2 linked regions of the Alligator mississippiensis genome follow. The protein of the gene in region 1 interacts with the protein of each later gene in a pairwise test. Links are inferred from orthologs where the notes say so. Each region holds a gene or a part of one and is shown in the gene's direction. Other genes may lie near its edges.

The links. The genes of interacting proteins can lie anywhere in the genome.
Region 2: the proteins of FSD2 (region 1) and FAM107A interact in binary tests that used the Homo sapiens proteins (3 or more experiments, as listed by UniProt). The two-hybrid records come from large-scale screens. The link is inferred for Alligator mississippiensis from reciprocal best matches to the Homo sapiens genes FSD2 and FAM107A.

Annotation. Positions count from the first base shown.
Region 1 is NC_081834.1:18,308,742-18,318,946, forward strand, and holds the start of FSD2 (fibronectin type III and SPRY domain-containing protein 2), read left to right. Parts: upstream 1-5,722; 5' UTR 5,723-5,874; intron 5,875-10,205. Other genes in the region: WHAMM (WASP homolog-associated protein with actin, membranes and microtubules), read right to left, coding at 1-104, 5,093-5,680.
Region 2 is NC_081835.1:943,443-953,254, reverse strand, and holds the start of FAM107A (actin-associated protein FAM107A), read left to right. Parts: upstream 1-5,980; 5' UTR 5,981-6,137; coding exon 6,138-6,216; intron 6,217-9,812. UniProt on the Homo sapiens protein: Stress-inducible actin-binding protein that plays a role in synaptic and cognitive functions by modulating actin filamentous (F-actin) dynamics. Mediates polymerization of globular actin to F-actin. Also binds to, stabilizes and bundles F-actin.

The DNA of each region.
Region 1 (10,205 bases):
AATTGTGTTGCCATAGTAACTAAATCCCAGTAAGCCTCATCTTCTTCTTCATAAACCTTCATTAAAGCTACCATTGTGTCAGCATTTTTATGCCGCTGAAGAACCTAGCAGATAAAAGGTTTGAGAGTTAGTCTCAGCTGCAGTACTTCTGTTTCTGGGCAAAACATGACAGTCTCTCAAAGATTGCCTTTTGCATTTGTGTACATTACAACACTGGCATACTTCAGCAGAAAGAACCAATCACTTGTTGTTACATGAAATAGCCAAGACTTCCAGTTATGAGGAGATGTAGTCCAGGTATTGGCAATTATTCCCCAATAAGAAATATCACTGATGACAGTTTCTTGAGGGCACTAATTACTACATATTGCACGTGAAGAATGACTGCACAATGATGCCTTGACCACTTCTTATTGTAAAAATTCTGATAGATGTGCACAGAGGATTTTGTCCACATTATAAATATGAAGATTCACAGGGTAAGCAGAAAAGATGCACTTTGTAGGTCAAATAAGGTATTCCTTTAAAAACTAATTATTGCATTGTTCCCCTCAGGCCTACAAAATGCCTAGTAATAAGAAATGAGCTATGATAAGCAAAAATCTGACCCTAAGCATGAACACACTGACTTTCAGACCTGGACTACTTCTCCTTTGAACTTCTAGTGCAATGAGGGGCAACTTTTTTTTTTTTTTTTTTTTGCAGATATGCCACAAATTATTACTGCGCCCTCCTGAGTGCTACTCTGATCCCTACTTCCTCTTCCCAATCTGCTGCTCTTCTTTCTGCTTCTTGGCCTGTGCTTCCGCCTGATCTGTTGCTTGTCACCTGTCCCCTTCCCGATCTGCTGTGTGCCACATGCAGAGGCTGCTCATGTCACTTGTCACACTCATGCCTCAGATTGGCCACCCCTGTTCTAGAGTAACCTACAGTTATAATCCTAAAGATACATGGCATTCTTATACTACAGGAACCTAACCTAACAATACCAATTATGTGAATTTTAACCTTTATTTCTTCCATACATATTCAAACTGTCTTTTAATACATGTCTGTATCACACCTAATCCCTAGGGTCCCACTCTCATGAGGTTTTTTGTGTGTCTGCCATACAGGTTTTGAAAACTTGCACAATTTAATAGTGTGCTAGAGATTTTCACAGATTAGTCCCACACTAGACATGAGGCCATGATTTACTGATGACAGAGTTTTTTCAAATTCATCTGAGAGCAGCTAAATTCGACAGTGGTATTTGCCAGCAAACACAAATGTTGCTTTTTATGCTAATTAAGCTGAGGTAAGCTCCATGAGAAATGAGGTAGGGTCCTGAAAGGTTGTTGGTTTGGATACTGGGATTTTACGCAGAGGAGGGAAAGAAGAAATCTTTGGAAAATGCGGGCTCAACTGTGTTCCTATTGAAAACAATGGGGTGAGACCTTTGACTCTGTCTTCCCAAATGACCCTGGGGAAAAAAGGGTGCTTAGAAGCTAAGGTCTGGCTAGGACAGAATACCTACAATGCAACTTCTGTCTTCCAACTATTTTCTCACAAGCATGCTGGCCATGTCAGAAGCCAGGCCTTATACTACAGGAAGTGCTATGGCTCGCGGGGGATAGTCCCTGGAGGCTGCCCTAACTTAAGGAGAAGGCAGGATAGGTTTGCACCTTAAAGACTAATGAAAATGGAGATATCTAAGCTTTCTTAAGCAGTACCTTGCTTCATCAAATGCTCTGAGGGTCATCATAGCATCTGTTAAAAACAAGCCACAGCTTACAAAGGCTTTAGGCATCTCTGATTTCAGTAGCCTATAAGGTACAAATCTATCCTGCCTTTCCCCAACTTCAGACTCATACAGGTAACTGCCTCTCTCTGCCATAACTTAGGCAAGCCTCCCAAGGGTCACACCGCAGTGAGAAGCTTGGATTTTTTCCCCCCATTATTTGAGCCAAGTGAAAAAATGTATGTCATGAAAAAAAAACCCTTTGGTTTTCCTTTCTGGTTCTCATGCACAGTCCCAAAGCATGGGAGGGGGATGTGGTCATGCCCCTGCTGGAGAACATTTACATTTGGGGAAAGTAACAGGAGCAAAATTTTCTCCCCAAGCATGTTTTTTATTCAGCTTAGATTTTGTAAGCCACTCCCTGTGACACTTCACTTTCTAGAAGTCTAGCTCACCACTAACTATACTGCTACTACTGGTATTGCTGGTTTTTTTCCAGTGAACTTGACTTAGGAAAATAGTATTATTTCATGCTGAGTTGTCCTCCCCCCCTCTGATGGGCTGAGGTATCTGGGAAGGCAAAGCAGAATATTTTCATTTACTATATGGCTATAAAAATAGGAAGAGAATGCCCTTGTGTTTATATCAATTTTGAGTCAAAAGCTATGGGTTTTATAGTTGCCTTTGCTTCAGAATTCCTATGCAACCTTGGGGAAATAAGTGATTTTTTGTGCCTCAACTACCTTGCCTCTAAGATGCAGGTGGTTACCTCATGGGCATTACTTCATCAGCATTTGCAAAGCCTGAAGATACAAGTAATGTTGTGTCAGGAGATGCTTTAGCCATGTCTCCACATTGCCAGAACTAAGCTGTTGTAAACGTTTTCACCAAGCATGCTAAAAACCAAAGCTGATGTATGGTTCAGAAATATACTTCTAGGTGCTGCTGGTACCTTTTGCAAAAAGAAAAATTAACCCAAATCATGTTTTAATATGATGCCACACTTCTGACCCTGCTTATTCTAGCAATCCAGTTATAGTAGGCATTACAGTGCAACAACCAAACCTGAGTATCATCTCTAATAGACTTATCTTTTTCAATAGTGTTCTGGGAAAATTTTAAATCCTATTACACCCTTTAAACAATGAAATGTATCAGGTTGTGTAAAGCACTAGGCCAGTGCTGATTCTCCCCCTGCAAAAGTACAGTAGTCCTGAAACACCTCCCATCCCCTTGTTCTGAAGAAGTTAAATTGTTAAGTAGTTGTATGGATACAGCATAATTGGTCATGCCACTAATTGTTTTTAACAAAGCAATGGACTACCTGCAGCTGTGCTCTTAAAGGGGATTATTTACAAAGCAAAATACCTCAACTGCTTAACCCTCACCTAATAAGGAACAGACTCTCAACATTTCCTTTAATTAGGAAAGAATCTTTTCTTGCTTTCATTGGTCTGCTCAGGTATCAGAAGATGGCTTTTTTTTTCCCCTTAAACCAGAAATACTTTTATTGGTATAGGAAGAAAGACCTATAATGCACTTAGGCCAGAATTTTGCATTAGACAGAAAAAGATTGTTGCGCCCCCTCAAATCAAGCATTTGCCATATGTCCACAGCCAGCGAGGCATTTAAAACCCTCACCAATACAAATGCACCACTGTATTTTACATCAAAGACAGATTTCAGGGAAGAAAAGAGATTAAATTATTACAGTACTACTGATTAAGAGTGTTGTGTTATTTTGTTTTTGGCAGATGCAACACTGGATGTTCTTTCGGCATAGGTGGTTGGTATTTTTTTTTTTTTTTAGCACTCAAGTTCTGGTAGTCTTAAAGTTTCAGCTAAATACCTCAAAACATGCATGTGTACTGTCTACTTGAAATCTACTTCAACTGCATGCTACTAAGCCTGAAGAAGTCTACACTACTCAACCATGGTCACTTTGCTGTTTTTGGATAGACAAGGAATATGTGATCAGACAAACACTAACTCAGGGTTGTCCTGGCATCCTAGGGCGCCTTGAGATCCTCTCAAGGATGATTTGTGGGGAGAGGGGGCTTCTTGGCTTTTTGCAACAGAATAATTGCTCTATTTTTCAGTAGTCAAAAACAAGTATAAGCTCAGAGCTGACATTTCCTAGGGAGCCCCCACTGTAACCAGGCTGAGGAGCACTCGCTGACTGGTTGCACTTTCCTCTAGCTCCAGTGGCTGTTCTAGCTATGCCTCAACAGTGCCACCCCCTCACTGAAAGCCAGCTTGGAGAGCAGTAGTTCCCCACTAGTCCGGAGTCAGGGTAGCTCCACTAGGCTAAAAAAACCCAACCAGATAACTAGCTTGATTCACACCAGAACATTTTGTGTTACATCAAGTCTAAATCTTACAGACAACTAATCTCAATGTCCCACATTACATACAATTTTTTTGAATTAGCAATGATCCTTCTGAGGCAGAGTTAATTCAATTTGTCATTTGATGTGACTGGCTGGGCTGCATCTGGTCTTGTTGGGAGTTGTGTCTTGGCCTCCTCAGGGCCACATAAGACCAACAGTCTGTTTTTGCTGCTGCCTAGCGCAGTGTGCCTCTGAGCCACAGTCACCAAGATCACCTCAGGCCCAGCACTTCTCCCTCAGGCAAGCACCTGTGGAGCCATCTGTCTTGCTCCATTTTGCCAGGTCACTTCTAACCTGTCAGGCTGTGAAAATAGCCAGCCAGTTTGTTGTAGCCCTGATTAGGCCAGAATAGGACTTGCACCAAAATAGCTATATGGCCCACTCCTTTGCACATGAGGGGTGAAAACCAGTGTTGCCCAACGTCTCATTTGTGCCATCAAAATTTCTGTGGCAGTGCAGGCACTAAGGCAACAGGCATCGGTTCCCGTTGCTGTACTGCATGAAAGGCAAATCAGCGGTGCAACAAGGTAGGAACAGACTCTGCTGCTTTATCACCAGGGGTGCACGTTCCCCCTGCAGACTGCCCCAGCTGCTTGCACTCTCCTGCCACCCCAGGAGGTGCTCTGGGGGCCTGAGGGTTGCCTCAAGCCCTGGGAAGACCAGGCTGCGCTCCCCAGGGCGCTGAGGGTGGCACCTGGGCTGGCTGCCCCAGTCACCAGGCGGTAGTTATGCTGCTGCTGAGACCAACACAGGGAACTGCCTCTGTGCACTTTATGTGAGGCGAGTTCAGTCAGCCAGGCTCTCCCTGGGCCAGGGAAGCACAGGCAGCCCTTGCCCTGGGGAGGGGGAAAGCCCCTCCGGGCTGCAGGGAGCAGAGCAGAGACCAGGCCTGGTCCCGGCCGTGGGGGGCGCCTGGGCCTGGCTTCGGCTCCGATGGTGGCGTGGCCCGGGGGCCAGGACTTGGGCCGAGCCCCGGCCGTACCGTGCGCAGCGCCTGGGTGGCGGCGGCCAGGCGGGCCTGCAGGGCAGCGCGGCGCAGCTCGGCCAGCGGCTCGCAGTAGGCGGAGTCCGGGTCGCGGGCGAAGAGCGCGTCCAGCACCAGGCGGCGGCCGCACAGGTCCAGCGCCCGCGCCAGGTAGCGCTCGAGCCGGCGGCACAGCTCGTCCATGGCCGCCGCCTCCTCCTCGGCCGGGCCCGCGGCGAACAGCAGCGCCCACAGCCCGCGGGCGCGACCCTCCAGCAGCGCGGGCGGCAGCGGCGGGAAGCAGGGCTCCAGGCCCGCGCTCAGCGCCGCCAGCTGCCGGTGCACGCCCAGCAGCGCCCGCGCCGAGAACAGCCCGGCCCAGCTGCGCTCCGCCGCCGCCGCCGCCGCCGCCTCGCCCGGCCCCGGCCCCGGCCCCGGCCCCGGGCCGCCCCGGCCCGCGCGGCTGTGGCACGTCACGGCGAACTGGGCCTCGGCCGCGTTCCAGCCCACGAGGAAGCGCAGCGCGCCCGGCTCCGGCTCGGCGAAGGCGGCCTGGCGCACGGCCACCCACCCCTCCAGGCTGTCGGGCTGCGCCGCCGCCGCCATTGCCCCCGCGCCCCGCGGGGCGGCGGAAGGGAAAGTGACATGGCCTGGGCTGGCGGGTGTTGGGCACCGTCACCGCGGCCGAGGCTGCCCATTGGTGGCTTCACTTGGGGGGAGGAGCCAAAGAGTTACCCCCGGAAGTGACGTAAAGGTGCAGGAGGAAGGGGGCAAGAGGGAGCTGCTGCTGCAAGTGACGAGTGAGGGCAGGTGCTTGTGGACTGCGGGGGAGGGTTGTACTTGAAAGCGCAGCACTGGAGGGTTCCCCCTACACACCACTACACCCCGCCTCCACCCACACCTACAACCCCCTTCACACACACACAGCACTACACCTCCACCCACACACCCACCACTACAATCTCCTCCACACACACACACACACACACACACACAGCACTACACCTCCACCCACACTCCCACCACTACAACCCCCTCTACAAACACCCTGCCACACAGAGCACTATAACCTCCACCCCCCCTCAACCTCTTTCTACACACTCACACACAGTACTAGAACCACCCTCTGCTCCACACACACCACCACAAATCTCTAGACACACACACACACACACACACACACAGCACTACAATTCCCCTCTAGACACACCACACAGAGCACTACAATTCCCCTTTCCACACACACTGTCTCTCCCTGCCTCCCTCCCTCCCTCTCTAGCTGGTTCAGAGTCATGGGCTGCCCCAGTTGCCCTTTGCCCAGCCTTGCACTTGATCTGACACCCAGAGGTGTGAGAGGGCAGCCGGGCACCCAGGGACAGCAGGTTGCACAGGGGCACTGGCAGTGTCTGGTGGCTGCCGTGCCACCGGTGCTGTTGTGCAGCTGTGTTGGGCAGTGTTATTTTTCTGCCCTTTCCCTGCCACTGTGCTGGCACCTGGGCCAGTGGCCCCAGTCACCACGTGCTAGTTATGCTGCTGCTGCTGAGACCAACACAGGGACCTGCCTCTGTGCACTTTGTTAAACATGGTTAGTTCTCCTAGGTTTAATTCAGAAGCAGAGCATGGGAGCACAGCAAACATCTGCAGCCCCTGAGGAATTGCTTGAGCACAAATAATCCACGTAGGAAATGGAGAGGGATGGGTGCCCTTCACTTTTATGTTGAGGGGAGTTATGTGACTGGAACATTTACTGAGAAATAGTGCATGCATCCACTACTGCTTCTAATACAAATGACTGAAGCATGGCCATCCTGCTGTCCCTCATCCTCCTGCCTTCTCCTCACCCCACCCCAGGGTCCTTCAGCAGTTAGGGCACTGAGGTGCAGAAATCCACCCCTGCTGGCATCAGTGTCCAAAAAGCAAACAGAACCAAAACTTTCTCTCCAAACTGTTCCTGGGAATAGCTTTCTCTTATTGCCTGTTCTGCTCCTCGGTAGTCTTTAGCCCTTTTCTTGGTTCAGCTTCCAACCCTTCTATGTTTCAATCAGTCCCTTCTTCCCTTTGCTGGCAGGGAAGGTGAAGCATGCACCTTTGCTGCAGGGTATCACCTTGCAAGATAACTGATCCCATGGAGTCATCCCTAAAACCTGAAGAGTTGGGCTGTGTGCCTAGGCCTTGCCTCATGTGTTTATGGAATGAATAGGCCGGTAGGCAGCAGTTATGGTATGCTCTATCGTACCTTTGTAAGGCTTTATAAAGCATGTCGTTTGGCAGGTTTATCTGATGGATGGAAGACTGCTGCAAAACATACAGATGATATTTGTCATTCAGCCAGAACTTGGTGCTGCTTTTTCTGTATTTAAATACACCAGTCTGGTCTTACTGGGATGGGGCTGCTAGAAATGACAGCTTTGGGGTGAAAGGTGATGTGGATGGTGCTCAGAATGAGAAAAAGAGTGTCTGCCATCCCAGAGCATCTAGATGTTATTGACGGAATTAGTACGGAAAAGGTTAACAGTGATGATATTTATACTGCCCTCTTTAATGTTCAGTATTAAAACCCCACTGACATAAATGAAAGGAATATACCTCTGTGAGACCTACTGTCCTTGTTTACTACTTCAAAGAATCAGGCAGCTCTACACCATTTGAAGTTCTGCTCATGCTTTTCATCTTCATAATCCATTTAAAATGGGCACCCAAGTGCTAGAGACACTCATGAGGTCACAAGAAAAGTCCCTGCATCCACAACTCATCATTTAGAGGAAAACAAACTGAAGGGAGGAAGAAATAAAAATCAAAGGAGGAAAAGAAAGAAGCAGAACCTTTTCCCTTTTGTCCAGTGAAACAGAATACAGCTTGTCAAAGTTGTTATAACTACACTGGCCCTTCCAGCTGTTCAAGATTCATACAGACACCGAGATGGATGAATAGTGAAGGAATTTCACCAGTTTGTCCAACTGCAAGTTATCTGCAATGTTCTTAAATACATTCAATTTCTGTGATTAATGCTTGCTCATGGCTTCTTTGCAAGCAGATCAGTGCCAGGGTTCGAGTTAAGATGTCAGTGTTGTTGACTGGACATTACCTAAAAATGCTATTGTAATCTCTATTGTTATTATTATTATGATTTATGCAATGTCTTTTAATGGGATTAATCAGTGCAAAGTCATTTTCTCTTGATAAGACATTTCACTTATCTAGTCAGCCATTTTCTCTGCATTTAGCCATTTTCTCTGCTATTTTCAGCTTCCAGGTATTTGCAAGGTGCATATATTGATATTAATATAAATAAACATATTTAATACCATGAACCCAGATCTTGTAGAGATGGAGCAGCTTGTGTGTCCCATTGTTCCTCAGAGCTAGGTCTTGCACTTTTGGCAGGGTCACCCATGGTGAACAGGCCTGACGGGAGGTTTCAGATAAACTACAGTCCAACCCCAAGTACTCAACAGCAGATCAGGCAGAAGATGATGACAGGATCTCAATGGCTGTAAAGATAGACGTCTCCTGTCATCTAGGATTCTCCTTGGCCACTGCATCCAGATCTCTACCTTGTTAACGTTACCTGGTTGTTTTCTCACATCAGCTCCCTCCTATTAAATGCAGTCAATGCAGGCTTCTACTACAGGATGATGATGACACATTGCTTGCCTGAACCATAATATTTTCTAGAATCTGATCTTGCTGTCCACTAAACTCAATAAAGAATAAAGAATTTAACATACCATATTTAACATTAGCTGGTTCAGTGCTACTGTTTGTGTTTGTGTATCTGAATTTGTTTGGCAAAATCTAGGTTCCTAATGTAAGGTAAGAGATTTTTGCTTGCTCTTGAACTGTAATCTTAGAAATATGTCTAGATTCAGTGACAAGACATCTCAGATTACTTTAATAACAGTTCAGAGAACAAAGAGGTTCTCTATTTTTAAGGGGGAGTTGTATAATAGTTTAAAGTACTTCAAGCCTGGGAATGCCTGAGAACTTTCAAAGCAGGTTTTCAGCATATGACATTCTCTCTGGAGACATTTAAGTAGCATAAAGCTGAAGGACAGCTGGGGCAGGGCTATATTTGTGCCTTTGCTCATTGATGGTATGTTACTATTTGAGGGAAGAGGCTGCTAGAATTACTGCAATAAGTCTGCAGCCACAGGAAACTGGCAGCAAATTGCCATCTTGTTGATTAGTTTTTAGTAGGAGAAATAAAAGGGAAGTTTGGTGTCATCGGGGCCATAAGAAGAATTTATGGATTCTTAAGATAGAAGGCAAGTTTTTAGGTAGTAACAATTCTTTGTTATGTGCTTTAGATGATTGAAGTTTGTGAACTTTAAACATACTGCACCATAATTGTATCTGTGTTGTGAGTTGAGCAAACCACAAACTTCAGAAAGTTTTGTTTAGGCTAAAGGGTTCCAAACACTTTTAAATATACTTGTTATAATTGCCATAATTGAATTACAATTTGCTAGACAAAATATTTGGGTTTTTTTTCCTGGTTTTATAGTAGATAATTTATATTTTGAAAACCAGCTCTGTATTGTTACCGTGAAAATTTTTGCAGGAGTCAGACAATATTTCACAGTATATTTCAAGACTATTTTCATTTTTTATATTTTAATATTGCATGATATAGTTTATTATCTGTGGCATATTTACTATTTTTACTTGTTATACATTTTTTGTCTATCATAAAATGTGTTTTTGCTAGATTCCACGTTTAGTAATTGGAGAAAACAAACTGCAAACTTTATGTTTATATACAAATCCACAAGGCATGATTGTGTTCTCAGTCATGCATAACACTGGAAAATGGAATGTTTTCCCCGAATTTCTCACTAGTTCATTCCTTCAGAGCCAGCATCATTTGCCTTTTAATAAGTCACTGATGTGGTTGGCTGATTGGTTTCTTAGAAATTAACTATTATTCCCTGAAATATGTTCCAACAGGTAAAAAATATAAAAGCAGAGAAAAATATTTTAATAAGACTTTGTTAGTCAATCAGGTCTCAAGAAGATTAATAAAATCATAAAAAATAAATGCAAGGGGTTAGGATCCCATGGAAACTGGAAATCAAAGCTATAGTTAAAAATGGCTTTACTAAACTTGATGTCTGACAATTCTGGCTGCTTT
Region 2 (9,812 bases), on another chromosome or scaffold:
CACGCGCTGGAACAGACTCCTGCCCTCCCCGACAGCCCTGTCACAGTCATGATTTCTGATGAGCAGTGTTTCATTATTTATTTTACATTACCTCATCAGTGGCTTGGTGGAATCTGTACTCATCAGACAGATTTATTCCCTTGCAAGGTACTCAATTAACCCAGCCAGCAGCTGCCCAGAGGTGGGAATCGCCTGCTTATCCCGCTGCCCCGGGACCCGGGCTGTCTGTGGCTCTGCTCTGCTCTAGGCTCCCCTGGTGCGACTTTCCCTTCCTTCCTCTGTGCTGCACTTCTCCATCTCTAAAACATGGGATTGACTTCAGGCAGCGCGTGCTAACTCGTGGAACTGGCTGCCACCGGAGGTTGTGGAGGCAGGGGGGTCACAAACAGATCAGATGAACAGAGCACAGGCCGATTAATAGCTAGGCAGAACAGTTAGGTTCGTGGTATCAGGATATCAGATACCCTGATATCACTGAAGCCGTGATGGCGGAGGCCAAAGTTGGTCTGACAAGGGGTGGATCTCTCTGACCATGCCCTGTTCGTATCCGTTCGCTCTAAAGTACCTACCAGAATTACTGCCGCTGCTAGAGACCCGACAGTAACTAGAGAGACCACGGGTCTGACTCAGTACAGTGCCGCGTGTGGTCTTGTAATGACATCTCCTTTCTCTTCCCGTTCTTTTTCTTCCTACTCTATGACAATACTTAGGTCTTTGGGGCTGGGAGTGTCTGCACAGCTCCTGCCCCGATCCCGCCATGGCCTCTAGCCCTGCCACAATGGAAATACTCAGCAACCATTCCCACTGCTGCTCCAAAGCAGGGCAGCTTCTCCATGGGAGCCTTGTTTCCCTCTATCCGAGCTGCCCGGGAGCCGCTATTGTAGTACCGGACCTGGAGAGCTCTGGGTCACGACATCCCTCTGCAGAGCTGCGCCAATACAAGAAGCAACATAAGGAACATGTCATCCTAGGTGACGGCTTCAAATTCGGGATAGAAGAAGTGAGAAAAGCAGCCGAGAGCGGTGACAGTGCCCTGGGGTGGGCTGTCTTTGTACCACGTTGTCTCGGGGCAGGCAGCGCAGGAGCCCCCCGGCTCGGTCAGGGATACTGGGGAGTTTGCAAGCCCTGCCAGGCATTGTCTCAAGGAGCGGCTCCAGATAAGCAGCGCCTAGCAACCAGCGGCACCGACACAGTAACCTTCAGGGAGCCTGGAGAAATACAAAGGCTTTTTGTTAATCCCGGAGACTTAAGAGCGCAGGTTGAAATCGTTGACTCGCGGAGAAGCCAGAGTGAATCGTGGCTCGAGCCACGAACTAGCCGAACAGGTCTGGGGCAAGACCCCGCCGCGCTCTGGCTCCACAGAGGTTTTTCTGTCCCTCTCACTCCCCAAAAGGATCGCTCGCCTTCGCACGGGGGTGGCCAGCACATCCCTGCCCCTGAGAACGGCGCACGTGGCCTCACGCCGGAGACGAGCTCTCGGGCGGCATCCGGGCACGTGGTCTTGTGAGGCTGTCTGAGGGCCCGGAGGCACAGTCAAACTGTGAAAGTATTTAGTATGTTAATGCCACTGTTTTCCTACCGATTACCCAAAGCAGGTGCTCAGTGATAATGGTTTCTTCATGGTCCCACATCTCTCCACCTTGGCAACTATCCCCTGGGGATTCGATGAAACGTTTAAAACCATGCTGTGCTCCCCTTGATAAACTCCCAGCAAACTGGCTTATCCAGAGCTCAGCAAACCCAGTGGCCTGTGCAACGATAACCTCGAGAGCTGGGCAGGCAACAGCACCCATCCCTCCTTGGGCAGACACCAGGCCACGGCACTAAGAACGAGAAGAAAGGGAAAGCACAAGCTTGCAGAGACAAAAGCAGAAAGGCCAAGGCACAGACCGGGCAGGAGAGGGCAGGAGGAGGAGCCGTCCTACAAGCATGTTAGCAGACAGACAAAGTCCAAGGACTCAGCGAGGAGGCACCATTCATAACACAGAATGGCCAGAAGGACAAAGTGTTTAATGCCTTTTTTGCTTGAGGCTTCCCTAAAAAGGGAAAGTGTGACCAGAGACTAATAATGCAATCAGCACGGGCGACACGGACTGAAGCTGCGAGGGGTGAGGAGGAGATTGGCGACTGCTTAGAAAACACAGACGTTTCCAAATCAGCTGGGTCTGACATCCTTCTCCCCACGGCACTGAGGAAGCTGGTCAAAGCCACCTCAGAGCTGATAGCCGTGATCTCCGAGACGCACGGAGAATGGGAGAGGCGCCGGGTGACCGGGCAAGGGGCACAAACAGTGGAAAAGGGAAGACGGGCTAAGTGCAATTCCCAAAACGATACTGGAGCAATAATCAAACACTCTTTGCAAGCAGCTAGAAAGTGATCAGGGGCTAAGTAACAGCCAACATGGATGTGCCAAGAGCACGTCCTGCCAAGCCAAGCTGAGGCTCGCTCTATGACAGGGTAACAGACCTTGTGACAAGGAGGAACCGTGACATATCTGAACTTTAGTAAAGCTTTTGACACTGTCTCACACGATATCCTCTTAAGCAAACCAGGAAAATGTGCTCAAGAGGACACTTCCATTAGGTGGGACTGCAGCTGGTTGCCAAACTGGCCTCTAGAAGGTATCCATGGATCACTCCTGAACTGCAAGGACCTGTCGAGTGGGGTCTGCAGGGTCTCTCCTGTGCCCAGCCAGTCCACATTTTCATTACCGAGTTGGATCCTAGACTGGAGAGCATGCTCATTAAATGTACTGAGCAGGGAGGGGCTGCAGGCACACCGGAGGAGAGGATGAGAGTAGAAAATGTTCCTGACAAACTGGAGAAATGGACAAACGCAAAGTGCTGCCCATGCATAGGAATAGTCAGCTGCACAAATACAAAATGGGGAGCAACTGGCTAGAAGGAAGCTTTCCGGAAAAGGATCCGGGGGTTATAGCGGATCACAGCCTGAAAATGAGTTAATAATGCCAGGTTGCTGCAAAAAAAGAAAAACCCAACAATGCATCAGGACATGTAAGCAGGAGTAGAGTGTGCAAGACTGGGAAATAATCCTTCCGCTCTCCCCAGCGCTGGTGAAGTTTTGGGTCTCAAAAAAATGTGGACCAATTGGAAAGAGTCTGGAAGAGAACAGCCAAAATGATCAAAGAAGAAGTGTTAGGTCAGATGTTAGGAACAGCGCTGTAACTGGGAGGTAGCTTAGGACTGGGATCAACTGGTTCAGGCGCAGCTGGCCTGTCTTGGGGCACAGCAATGGACTGACCTCCAAGGTCTCTTCTGGCCCCGTGTCTAGCTAGTCTACGACAGAAATCCAGTCCTGATGACTTAGTAGCTTGACAGGGTAATAGGAAATACAGGAAGGACCGGCAAGGCACCGAGAGAGACCTGAAAGCTTACGGACACGGGAATGGATTCAGCTGTGCTGTCGGGCAGTTTACATTTTAAGCAGATGGTCTGAGCTTGCAGTAAGCGGACCTGTATAACGGAAGCTTAAATCAGAGAGTCTTTGTTAACAGTGGATGCTGGAGCCGTATACTGCAAACAATTTAACAGTGAGGGAAGGGGCCTGAGGGCCAGTGCAATTCCCCGGGAGCCAAGACCCTTGGCTTCGGCCACTGACTTGCTGTGGGACTCTGGGAAGGCGACTGGCAGTGGACAACTTGCTGTGCCATTGCACACTGCTAGTGTAGATGTGGAGGTCCGCCGATGTGCCAGGGGTCCCAGGACCCCACTGTGGGACTTCAATGGATGGCCTTCTTTAACACGGCCGTTTCCTAGAGAAAGAGCCCTTCAGATGCAGCCCTGTTGTACGGTAAGAGTGCACGTGTGTGTGAGTGCACACGTACATGTACATACAGGCACCACCACTAGGCAATGGCATACACGTAGCTCTTCAACACCTGAGTGAGGGTGCAGTGCAGGGCCAGGCCAGGGGCTCTTCCACAGCATGGGATGGCTCAGAGGGAGAGGAAGCACATCCCCTGCTCCCACACAAAAGGACGGTCACCACAGGTCTCTCTCTTTTGCATTGCAGAAAGAATATTCCCTCCAGCCTCTGCTCCATGGTGGGAATGGGAAGCATGTCACCAACAGCTCGGGTGAGTGACGTGGGCCAGCCAGGCTGGGCCAGCGAGGCTTGCACAGCTCAACCAAGCAGCGTGACGTCTCGCTGGGCTACCTGCATGAGTCTGCCCCTTGCTGCAAAGCGCTGGGGGGGTGGGTCAGAACCAGGTTTCTAGCCAGCTGCTAACCTGGGCCCACACTGGTGGGGAGGAGAACGTGCAGCGGGCAGCCTGGGGGCATTTCAGACCAGCCTGAAACCACGGGCAACAGTGGGGCTAACGCACTGGGGCTTGGTACAGCAGCATGAGGGGAGGGAAAGGGAGCAGGGAGGCCTCTGTCCTGCTTGGGGACTGGCCCCGGGAGACAGCACAAGCGATCTGAGGACCTGGTGCCATGGGCCCCCACCCTGCCCCAGCCAATGCAGGTGAGCAGGGGAGGAGGACAGCACGCGCCTCCACCTGGAATAGGCTGGCCGAGCTCCCCACCGCCCCTGGAGGAGGAGGGACCTGGGGACTCCTCCGCAGCGTGGCCCTCTGTCCCGGCCCCTACAGAGCAGGCTGCAACACTTCAGCCCTGCGGTTATTACGCCACAATTGCAGCAAGCTGGAGATCCACGTGCAAGCTGCATTCAGCTCCCACACTGCCAAGACAGCCCGTGACACAGCCACCCCAGCAGGGAAGCCCTCCATGGCTCCCCCACCTTTTTTTCCAGGTGGCAAATGATGCAGCAAGGCTTGGAGACTGTCTGGCCTCAGAAGCATAAGGCTGAGGGATGAGGTCAGGGCAAGCGCTACACCCAGAGGGGAAGAGCGGGAGACGGGGCGAAGCCTGGGCAGTAGCTGCAGGGCAAGGGCATGGTGGGGGCAAGAGGAACCGGGCAGCAGCACAGGGCAGGGCTGTGGCCTCCACCAAATCCAGCAACACCAGCAGACCACAGTCCTTGAGTCAGCCTCCGAGACGCCCTCGCTTTCTCACCCGAGGCAGGCTTGCTGTCTGTGCTCGTGTGACACCGATGCTCCTGTCCCCCCCCCTCTTTTCCTGTACCCGCACGTCCCTATCGACTCATCCCACCCCCTGCTGCTACCCCAGCCCCTCTCCCCATGGATGAGCCCAGAGCCTTTCTAGCCGTGAAGTACGCTGGCAAGGGTGGCAGTGCCCCTCGCAGCTGAGCTCCTGCTGTCTCACAGCTCAGGGAGCAATCCTTTAGCGAGCTGGGGGTCAAAGGTCCCAGGATGCCACCCCCAGGGCTAGCTCCAGCGCCAGTGCACTATTAGCTTTGTGGATAGTAACTGGGCTGGAAAAGGTGCTGTCTCCATCAACACGCTGGGACACTACTGCAGTATCATGGCTCACAACGGCACGGCAGTCCTGACTCGAGGTGCTCAGCCACAACGGCTTCTACCGAGGCCCCCCACAGCCACCCCCCAGCTAAGTAAGCTAAGTAGGTCTGCTCAATGCACATTTAGGAGCTTGCTGCAAGCCAGACAGAGATTCGTGCACCTCCGTCAGCTCAGCGCAGCTGCTCGCAGTGTGGGAGTCGCAGCGAATGTTCCTGCCCAAGCTGCTGTTCCCGGCGCTTGGCACATGGGAAGCTGTTTTATCAGATGAGAAGGATCAGCTCATTCCTTCACGCTGGGCTGCTGCTTGCTCAAGGGGGAAAAGCATCCCAGAGCTGAGCAATTAATGGGGGGTAGGGGTGGGGGTGGGGGGGTAAGCTCTGCGTGCAGCACTGCCCAGGAAGCTCACTGTCTGGGCAACGGACTCTTGCAAAGGTGTTAATACTGCCCCCCCGGCAGCATGGGCTGCTCCCCGCACACCCCCGTAACGCACTAGTGCAGATCCAAGCGGAACGGTTTTGTTAGAGCAGAATGTGCTTGTCAGCAGGGGAGGGCAGCAGCTATACAGCGGCTCAGGTCACGTGGCTGTTTATTCTCGCTCCCTCTGAAAAGGTCTTACAGAAGTGAGAGAGCTTAGCAGTACCCAGCCAAAAGTCATGCACACTTAGGCTCGCACAGCACTGACAGGAGCAGCTCGCTCAGCCCAAGCCACACTGGGAAGCCCCAAGATCTCAGCCCCATGTCTCAGAGAGTGGAGGACCAGGTGAGGGTACCACCTGGAGCTACCGGACTGTACAGAGCAATGCTGGTCAAATCAGGTAAGCACAGGTGTCTCTCGTAAAGCCTTCCCGGGAAATCTCCCGGGCAGCCATCGAAATCTGAGCGACAGGAAACTTCCCTTTGGGTTTCTGCGTGCTTGCCCAGTGCTTTCCTCCGAAAGCAGATGGAGCGTTTCTGAGTGCCTCTCTCCTGGGCGGACGCTGCGCCACGCATGCATTTACCCTGGGACTATTTTACAGCCAGCTCCAAGTTACGCTTTTGAGACGTCTCTTCCCTTTAATCCTGCTGTAGCTCAGTGGCTTTAACTCCTTTGTTTCTGCCTTTCTAAATGGTTCCCCAGGCCCCTGTACGCTGTAAGCAACTCCCCTCTGCAGTTCAGGTGCTCTGCTTGGAAGGGAACGCGTTGGACAGAAGATACGTGCTAGTGAAGAAGATAGTGCTAGCCCTGTTTAACTGCTGGGAACTTACTCTCTTCTCTCTTAAACATGTCTGGGCTACCTTAAAGCAGTCACTGGTGACTGGAAGAGTGGGTCTCTTTCGGCATACCTCTGTTAAAGCAGAGCAAACAAGTGATGATTTATGAGCAGTAAATGATCGCTAGGCATCTGTCACTTCTTAGCAAAATAAATCAGCCGTTGCACTGGTAGTCCCTAGCAATACCTTAGAGGGAGGAGTCCTGTACGCCCTGAAAAAATGATTCGGGACGCCGCAGTCACAATATTGTTTTGGCTGCTACCATAAAATACTATGGCGTGTTTCTCTCTGCGCAGCGTTTGACAAGTCTGAAAGGCATCCAACTGATACACCTTGTTAATTGTTAATAGCAGGTGGGATCCAAGGCCGTCATGTTTATTTAACTATCACAATCGGAGAAGTTTTGAACTAAATTGTTAATTAATACGCAGGATTTCACCTGCTTCCACAACAGAAGGGATGTTGCTGCAGGCATAACTTTGTAAGCGGCTTCAAGGCTTAGCTGATATGCAATAGGAGAGGTAGGAATTTTAAATAAAGATTGTTTGGTTTGTGGAAAAATCAGTCAGTGCTTGTTTCCTGAGAAAATGTGCCAGTGAGCACAGCTGGTGAAATCCCAGGTCCAGCGGCCTGCCTTTCTGGAAGTAGCAATAACTACGGTTTGGGAGAGGCTCCTAAGCTGATTCTGCTCCTATGTTCATCAGAAGGAACTTGTTCGCTCCAGTGGACTTTCCCCGAGCAGTGGAATAATTGAGCGTCCCCGTCCACACGTGTCCAGGGAACGGGAAATCTGCCCCGTCCCCACATGTGTCCAGGAAAGATAGGCAGCATTGGGAACAGACAGGTGAATGGGAGTGTCACTAAGTACCACCAGCATCTAGATGGCATCAGTGGGCAGTTTACATCTTGCACAATTACTTTGTGACGTGCTGGGTCAAGTCGCCCCTCTACGCGGGTTTTACAGATCAAAGCTGGTCAACTAGCTCAGGGGACAGGAGGGGCTGGGGGCTTACAGGCTTGGTAGCAGGACGGGACGCCTCTGGCTTCCACAGCAGATTAATTGGTCAGCACTAGCTTAGACTAGTGGGCACCAGAAGATGCACCACCTAAAAGCTGCTGAGTGGCCTACCTGGAAATAAGCTATTTGATCTCCTAAAATCACAGAACTGGAAGGGAGCACACAGGCCATTTCCCCGACGCCCTGCACAGGTGCAGGATGCGCTGTTCCTAACCCAGCACAGATGTCTTCATCGTACAGGCAGACCTCTCAGGCTCTGGTCGAACACGTGGCTAGATACCAAGATCCTGATTTTCTTGCTTCCCTTTACTGACAGTGGGCATCAGAAAAGGCTGTTTTCTTCTCCTCTGACTCAAGGTGAACAATTCTCTGTTTTGTGGACCACCCCTTGAGAAATTCCCATGAAACTGCTATGAGAAAATGGGTTCGACACATTTGCAGGGAAGAGTTGCTTCTATGCCCAGATTAAAACATGGCATGTAGATGGGTGCAGCGCACACTGTCCTGGGCTGGTTGTCATCTCACTGCAAGCCCAAAACAATGGGCATTATGTAAAACTGGGGGAAGGACCCCCAGCAAAGGCAGAGAGGACTGCTAGAGGGTCAAGTCCCAGCTATGGCTGAGCTTGAGAAAGGGTCAGACGTGACCTGTGGCTGGAGGCTTCCCACAAAAGCTGCTAATCCCTGAGAGCCGTTTCCATTTCCAGTAACACTGGCATTTGCCTTCTCTTCCTGACACGGTTCCCGTGGTTCTTCCCTCTGCTCCGGAGTTTCAGTCCTGACCACGGCTGTGGGAACCTGCCACGTGCTCGTCTGCAGCTCAACCTTAGAGACCTGATTGTTCAGGAAGCATTTCCCAGGGCGCTCACATCAGGTTACATTGGCCCTATTACATTATAAATGCCAGAATTAGGCTTGGTGAATTATTTAACGCTATAGATTAAAAGCATACAAAGGATTCTTGCTCTTCCTTTTGGAGGCCGCGCTATTGTTTCTCGGAGATACAATCACCTGGTGTAGGGGTGAGTGACAAGGAGGGGAGTGGCTGCCAGGTAACACATCTCCGTGATGACATGCAAAGAAAGACTGCAGCCAACTCTGTGCGCAGCAAGGTCCGAAGCCTGCTTCCTTGGCAGACAGCGTGGCTGGAGAGAAATAATACTGGGGTGTTGGTGGGAGCCATCTGAGACAGTGATGAGAATTAGCATCTGCCTGTCTTCGGGCGGCTGTAGTAACAACTGTGACGCCCACGACCACAGCAGCATTACACCACTGCAGGCATTACGTAGCCTCCAAGAGTCTGTCCCAGAAGTGGCCTGTTAATGCTGCTCCGTGACTGCTCTGTGCCACACACTGTGGACTGTGACCCTTCGAAAGTATCTGCCTGCAAAGCCCCACCACTGCGCCTCAGACGTCATGCCGACTCCAGGCCCTGCTCCCTTCTCACCGTACAAACCAGACAGCTTTGCACCTGGCTTCTTGTCAGACTCTACTGCCACGGAAAGGGATGCAAACAGCTTTCCAGAGCGGGTTGTTTCCTGCCTTTTGGAGAGCTCCGGAGGAGAGGAGCGCCTCCCAACTCCAAGTGCTTCTCACTTGCGAGCGAGATTCTTGCCGAACTCCTACGAGACAGACCACCCTCCTGGTCACAGAATTGCAGCGGCACGGCCCAAAGCTGGGAAGAAACTAGGACTTTTTACACCACTGCTTTCTGACGTCAGGTTAACGCAGCTTCAGCGCACAGACTATGTTTCTCCAGTGAGGATCTAACCTTAGTTTTTTCTGAGCTGTCAACAGCCCCAGTGCCTTCCACAGCACCGTTAGTTTGCACTAGCTCAGGATCTTCTCTGTGGGCCTTGCTGTGGGAAATGCAAGGCGGCAAGGACTGGCCAGATTAGTGCTTCCTTTGCAGTGCTAGAGCAAAAGGCAGAACAAATCTCCATCACCTCCTGGCAGCCTCAAATTATACCAAAGTCGCCGTGCATTTTAGCCATGCCGCATTCTGACCTTTACACGCAGGGACGTGGGTTGAAAATCTTACCTAAGATTCAAGCAGGGCTCTAAGAAGTGCCAAGGGCATAGGAAAGCATTCAAAACTCCCCAGCAAAACATCAGGCTAGAAGCAAAACAAAAGCTTCCTACT